Oryzias latipes: one gene and its partner. The protein of the gene in region 2 purifies or fractionates together with the protein of the main gene of each other region. This does not show direct contact. Links are inferred from orthologs where the notes say so. Each region holds a gene or a part of one and is shown on either strand. Other genes may lie near its edges. The genes, in order: protein POLR1D and polr1b.

The links.
Region 1: the proteins of polr1b (region 2) and protein POLR1D purify together in Homo sapiens (affinity purification with mass spectrometry; 5 studies listed by BioGRID and IntAct, with this or other methods). This does not show direct contact. The link is inferred for Oryzias latipes from reciprocal best matches to the Homo sapiens genes POLR1B and POLR1D.

The regions. Positions count from the first base shown.
Region 1 is NC_019878.2:17,475,366-17,479,983, forward strand, and holds the start of protein POLR1D, read right to left. Parts: upstream 2,890-4,618; 5' UTR 2,832-2,889; exon of another isoform or gene 2,771-2,831; 5' UTR 2,751-2,770; coding exon 2,725-2,750; intron 2,276-2,724; coding exon 2,201-2,275; intron 816-2,200; coding exon 476-815; 3' UTR 1-475.
Region 2 is NC_019873.2:3,647,086-3,649,812, forward strand, and holds part of polr1b (DNA-directed RNA polymerase I subunit RPA2), read right to left. Parts: intron 2,010-2,727; coding exon 1,835-2,009; intron 1,760-1,834; coding exon 1,478-1,759; intron 1,397-1,477; coding exon 1,263-1,396; intron 1,196-1,262; coding exon 1,025-1,195; intron 925-1,024; coding exon 768-924; intron 675-767; coding exon 478-674; intron 1-477. UniProt on the Homo sapiens protein: Catalytic core component of RNA polymerase I (Pol I), a DNA-dependent RNA polymerase which synthesizes ribosomal RNA precursors using the four ribonucleoside triphosphates as substrates.

The DNA of each region.
Region 1 (4,618 bases), on a different chromosome or scaffold from region 2:
TTACTCTTTGGCGACAGCAGCATGGCTTATATAAACACCAGTGGTGGATAACCACAAAAGAATGGTTAATGACATTATAATGGAGCTACAGCCACCTTTACAAAGTGGAACATGATAAAACAAATATTAGCTTTGATATGATTTTTAGATTATATCCTAAAAAGTATATTTGATGTTTCGTTCTGGTGCATAAAGATTCATGTTAGAACTGTAAGAGGATCAATTATTCATGCCTGAAAACACAAAATATTTATTTCCTTTTACTCTCTTCATTCATTCATTCAAAAGCTGTAATACAAATTGTATATTCTGTCACTGTACAATTCGTTGTGATCAGCAGAGGTCCTTCTAGTCTGTCTGGGTCTCTGTGAGGGTGAGAGGGCTCTACAGAACTATTTCAAGTCAGCCATACTCCTCCAGCCAATTAATTTTTCAGTAGAGCATCAAGGCTACCTTTAAAACACAGCAAGTTCATTCATGAAGAACTTCTTTTTCTGTCTCCGTTTGGTCCATCGGCATGCTTCCTGTCTCTGCTGTTGTCCCCGTGTCTGTCAGATTTGTTCTTATCTTTGTCCAGTTCCTTATCTCGGTTTGAACGGGTGTGATGTTTATGGTCTTTGTGGCGTCCATTACTCCTGTGGTCTGTCGGAGGTGTTCTGCTGCGGTCACACCGTCTGTCACGGGACTTGTGGGTCAGGCGGTCTCTTGTTTTGGAGTCTGCGGTTCTCTGCTCATCGTTTCGCCGCTGCAGGCCGGTAGAGCGCAGAGTGTTGAGGAGAAAGCGTTTGTTGGTGCTCTGCAGGGGACATTTCAACCTGACAGAGAAGAAGACAACACAACCACTTAAAAATTCAGAATTAAGGTTTTTTTTTTAATCTAAAGTCTAATGTGAAAAGCGACAGTTATCTGATCAGTATATCTGACAGATGTATAGTCGTTTCCATTAAAGGACAAATTGTCTCCAGAGTACAATTTAAATTATAGGACAACTATTAAGGGCATGACTTTGCTTTAAGTTGGGAGTTAGATGCTCACCTTACTGCTTTTTGTATAATTTCACTTTTTGTTAGGTTCCCACATGAAAATAAAACATTATGGTATTGTGCTGTTTTTCCATGTTTTCTAACACTTAAAAATACTGGGTCATTCTTTAATTTACTACTAAATAGTGTGATAAGAGGTGCAAGTTTTCTGGAAATTACATAAACCAACTTTTTTTTAATATTCTGTAGTTTTTTTGGACCAGACCTAAAAAACAAAATAACATAAACCTCTTCATTAGAAACCCACAAAAAAGAATAAAGTCCTTCTAAATTTGTTTAAGATCTGTTAAACATACACAAATAAATCTTATCATTTCAAGAGACTCAATGAAGGGAGATCCAAAGAGAAACCCATTAACCATCAAACAGATCAAATACACAAAAAGTGAATAGGTCAATAAATAATTTCATGCAAAAGAAATCATTGTGCAACAATATACTTGCAAACATTTGTCGATCTAATTAATACAGATCAGTCAACAAATATTGGTTACCAAGATAAATCTATGATTGTAAATGCGACACAGTGTGAAAAAACTCAAACTGTAATTGTTACACAAAAGACAAGCCTTGCAGACTTCAGAGAACGTTGTCATGTAAATGTTTGGGATAGACAAAAAAATGTGAAAAGTTTAAGTTAGGTAACATTATAATTATGGACAGTCTTTTAAAAAAAAATTTTATTTGCCTTTTGTCCCCTCCTTTCAAGTGACTTTTGTAACTGCATTAAATGACGAGTGAATGACAGCTTCAGAACATTAGCTTTGACCTCTCACATCTGAAATAAATCAAGAAGAAAAAAATAGTTTTGATAAATCAGCGTCAGCCCAGAAAATAAAAATGTCTGAAAGCATATTTTCAATTCCAGGAAAGTTCACAGGGTTATACCGTTTTTTTTAGACATAGAATCACTACAGACACACAATCAATAAATAAATATTAATAATAAATTTAGTCTATATGTGTGTGCTTTTAGATGCCAAGAGAGACAAGTGTCTTTGGGAACCTGACGAATTATCTATAATAGAAAACTAGTTAAACACAAATACAACAATAATAGAAGCCTCCAAAAAAAACAGCTAAACCTATGAAGTAAGATTTTACATGGCGTTTTATGTGGAGGCTGTCAGGGATGACATTTCAGAACCATAACTCACCATCCTGCAGGGCCCATGGTCTCAGCTCTCACCCTGGCTCTGTCTGTCTCCTTGAGGAGTTCCTCTATAGCCCGTCTGGAGGAAAAGACGTAGAAAAATGCGGATAACAACAGAAGACCAAGATGACATAAAAGCTCAAGGGGAGACTAATATAATTATGTGCGAGCGAGGAAGAAAATAGGAGACGCGGAGGAAGTGAATCATAAGTAATTGGGACATCAGCGGTGTCCCCGTTTAACCCGACCAGCTGAGGCATTAGTCTCGCAGGGGGCTCTCTCTGATTCAGCCGATCTTATAGCACGTAGTGAGAACAGCTGTTGATTGCCAAAAGGCAGAGTGTGTTGACTGCTACACAAGATACACTCCGTCCCCTAACCAAAATAACCCCATAGCTACAGAAATGCATTATGCAAACATGCTAGCCTAATCTGGTGGTACCAGACACCATTCCCCCGATGTATTAGTTTAACCGAGCAAACGTAAACAAGTTAATCGATGATAATCTAAAAATAAAAAATACTTACTTTTCCAATTCATTATCTTCAGCCATTATGCCTGACCACCTAAAGACTTTAAAACGCAGAATTATTTCAGGAAATTTCTACAGGCTCATGTTAGGGGATTTATTTACCTCTGCGAGGTCCTTCTTTCGAGGACCTGATTTTATGACCAAAAGATGCCTGATCATTTCATTGTTTTATATTGTTAAACCATAACATTTTTTTTTAAATAAATAATGCATTTTTGTAAAATTCACGCCGTTTTTAGAACCCAAACATTTATTCTAAAGTAATTTAGTTACTAAAATAATAGTTGTAATTGTCACATTGAAAAACAAAAAATATTCCATGCCCTGTATGATCCCGAAGCTTTATCCGTTTATGTTATTACCTCTAACATATCGGAATCATAAACATATTAAAAGATTTTAATTCCCGCTGAATGGACGTTTTTGGGCAGGCGACATTGAAGCCACCTCTACTTTTTTTTTCTTTTTTTTGTGGATTGACAGCGGCAAACTCCGCCCAGTCTCTTTGACGGACAGCAGTGGGCGGGACCAGGCACCAAAGTGACGGGGGCGTTTTCGTGCAGGTTTGCGGAACGGGCCGTCCGTTGCGGCGACTGCGTGACTGAGGTCCCGCAGCTGCTAATTGTCCCGCCACCCCCGCCCCTCTTCGAGGCCCGGGCGCGGCGCAGAGGAGCAGCCTGAAGAGGTAACATCACATCTGCATCCTTTCACTGTAAGCGGCGTCAGTGTGTGTGATGCTGGCTTTTTCTGTTATTACCATTGTCGCCTCTTCTGTCCTCCCTTTTCGCTCCTAGGGGGGGTTGGACTCAGACAGTGAACGGGGGGTTTGAGAGATGGGGGGAGGGCTTATCTAAACATTGATGGTATCAAAAATATATATATATATATATTTTAGTAATTGCTTTGCAGATGGGGCGTTATTAAGGTAAATGCAGAAAATTGACAATAATAATTGAAAATGTAATTTACAGCAGGCTCAGTTTTTGTATTATTACTAATGCATGCAAAAAATAAATATATAATAATGTTCACATCAGTTCTCGTGCTGTCTTTGTGTGTTTAGTATTTGTAGGATGAAAGACATCCAAATGAGGTTTTTGTAAAATATCTGATACCTGGGTGCCTGATACACCTGAGTTTTTAAATGAGTGCCATAGAGTCTTTTGATCTTCTAAAAAGGAAACTCCTGCATGCCGCTGCCTAGTTCTCCCAAGATTAGATAGTAATCTGTGGGAAAATGAGAGCAAGTGCAGGACCGGTATCCTAATATAAAAAGATGAGCAAGTACAGCTTTGAACTCAGACAAGAAGGATTAAGAACGTGTCACACGCATCTGCAAGCCTTCACTTATTAAAAAAAATCAGCCCAGCGTGGCTTTTGTCTAAAATAGATTGTTTTTCAACTGCTTCCTGACTCAAAAATGCATTTACTGTTAAAACCGGAAGGCGTTATTTATTGATGAGGAGATTTCAGGGGCTTCTGCCTAAAAAAAGCCCTTGTGTGTTTCTGTTTGCTCTTGCTTGTGCATGTCTACAAGTCTGTGTGTGATGTGGTGATGTCACAGCTTTGTTACAGAGACAGAGAAGCCTTGTGTCCTCATGTTAAATTCATGTCCAGCTGCAGGATAGGGACAGAAGCAGCCAGTCAGACACAGACAGGAGCACGCACTTGAAGGAGGCAGAAATCTGTGACTACCGGCCTGGTAGCTAAGGAGACAGAGGAGACAGGTTGCATCAGAACTGGATAACTACACAGATGAGATTGAAAAAAAGAAAAACACAAAAAAGGGGGGAAAAAATCAACAAATTGGACTCATATATCATTGTCTGACAAGCTTTCAGCTTCTGCTGTGGAGGAGCACAGAGTCCTGCTGGGAGAAGTGCATCTGT
Region 2 (2,727 bases):
AAGATCAAAGAACGTCAGAATGTAGAGACCCACTCTGAACATCTATTTTCAAAGCATTCCAGGTGGTCTTCAGACTAGGAGGAAGTCATTTTTAGCCTAAATCTAAAAACCAAAGACCAGCAGGAGTTCATCAGAAATTCACCCTGAAGTTGTGGGCGGGACCGCTGGCATAGAGTGACCCTTCCTCCATTTCCCATCATGCCTTTGTTTACACCATCTCAGGCAAACCAATTCCCGTCACAACCCCTAACTAACATTATCAGAGAAACAAAAATGTCGACCAATATCAGAGCTATCCAGCCGTACAGTTTAGAGCCAGATTCCAGCTCAGACGAGGAAAATAAAGACGTTCATGGATCTATCTGTAAGAGGATGATCAGAATGGAGTAGCATCCCTACTGGGAATGCTTTGAAAATAGCTCAAAAGATGATCAAATCCCATCTGTAGAAATGTAAAAACTATTGTGTTGAATTCACCATAGCATCTTCCATGTCGTAGCCGGTGTAGGATATGACGGCGACGATGGCGTTTGTGCCGCTTGGATAGTTGTCCAGATTGTAGTGATCGTACATGTAGGGCCTGACGAGGGCGCTCTGTGGCGTCTGTAGTCGGTACAGCTTATTGTCCGAGCGATCCATAAACGAGTGTAGAGGGAAGCCCATCGTTTGTTTACCTGAAACAAACAGTTTAGGGTCAACAATTTCAGGACTTTGGACTCCAAATTGGTGTTAGCCTTCAATGAACATTTCTGATCCCACCCACTTACCCATCTGACACTGGTACATGTTTCTAGGACTCTGGTTGTGGTCTGAGAAAGGGATGAAGTTTGCCACCACGCTCAGCATACTGTGAGGGAAGAGCTCCTGGTGTGTGGTAACTCCTGCTTCAATCTCCTCTTCTAAAATTCCAACATTGGTGTAAAGCTACGGCAGAAAAGTAAACCCGTTTTACTTGGACAGCTGTCCTCCGATGACCGTCTCGATGGCAAGAATGTCTTTCAACGTGCACCAGCTAAACATATACCTGCTCAAAGGTGCCAATGAACTCCTGTTTGCCAAGAGCCAGGTTTTGAACGGGCCGCATCATCCGGCAAGGTGTTGTGAAGAGGAACAGACCTGGATACAAGCTGGCTTTTCCAGTTTTAGGAACCAGGACGATCTCAGTCCAGGGAGGAACCTTCCTCTCCCTCAGCACCTGCACACACGTTAGTCATCAGGTTTCTGCTTCCAAGGTCACTACTTGTCTAACATCCTTCTCGTACCTTGAACCTCCGCATTGCATCAACAACAGCTGGAGCCAAGTCGGTCTCCACCCAGCCAACAACAGAGCCATCCAACACCACAGGGTAGCAGTCAGAGAAGGCCTGAGCAGGAGTACCATCCACCGGAGTAACACCTCACACACCGAAAACAGGACCATTTCCATTTTCAGCCGCTGAGGAGCAATGTGCACTTTGTAAAAATGTTTGGAGCTTACCGAGGGAACAGAGCAGTGCAGGCAGCGACGTGGTGGGACTGGATGCTGCCACCACCTCACAGCTGGCAGTCATGTGGTTCATGAGTCCACAAGGCTCTCCGTCTGGAGTGTGGACGGGACACAGGAAGCCCCAGGACTCGGGCAGCAGCTTACGGACTGAGGTGGTCCTCATCTTGGCGAACGCTGCTCCTCTGTGCACACAGCGGAAGTGAGAAAGGTAGCGGATGAAGTTCAGCTTGTCAGCGACAACGCAGAGGCCCGAGTTCTGCAGCATGCCGAGACCTGTGAAAGAAAACATTTAGAACAAAGCAACTATTGAAGTTTAAAAATATATATATAAAGAGTGTGGATATGCACCCGTCTTAGAATTTAGGTTTCCAGTAGCCAAGAGATATTCAAAAGGTTTGGTGACATCAGAGCCCATGTTCAGCATCTTTATGACATTTTCTGTGCTCCATCCCCTTGCAAACACTTTGGATCCTCTTTTGTCAAAGGACAGCTTCACAGACACCAGCCATGCAGTCATTCTCTCCTGCAGTGTTAAAGACGAGGAACATGAAACTAGAACTTTAAGATTTAAAAGTCAAGGTCATAACATTTACAGTACAGCCTTCCCTCATGTATCCCGGGGGGATACGCTCTAAAAATAGAAAAAAAGAGAGACCAGGATTTCAGAATAAAAACAAAGATCTGATCGCGATTAAATATTTATGAAAATTTGGCAAAACTGAACACTTTCTGTCCAGAAGACACAACACAGAGGAGATTCATTGACAAGGTCTGTAGCCAATTAGAGAACTAGACTGAGTGGCCCCTCCCCCTGGCGTTCCAAACAGGAAGTAGCTTCTGACTCCAAGAATCTAAAATGAAAAGCTGTTACTCAGTCATTCTGTTGGTCCAAATAATCCTTCTTTGTCTGTAAAATTTTTTTTAAAACATTTTCTTGACAATCCTATTTTTTTCCCATATTTTTGTTGTAGCGCAACTTTTTCAAGTTATAAACTGACCAATCACATGACTTAATAAGAGTGGGTGGTTCCACATTGAACGGTCGAAGCATTTGATTGACAGATTCTCCCAAGCCTGCTTTCAGTGGTAAGGGTGTGGTCTTCTAACAAGCTTACTCCTAATTGGTGAGAGTGGTTGCCATAGAAGCGTATCATGAAAACAAGGGCGTCTGAACTGACTTCATTTCTAAATGGGTGACGTCACTCAGTCCAGTTCTCAGATACAGTCCATGTTTAGGTCGC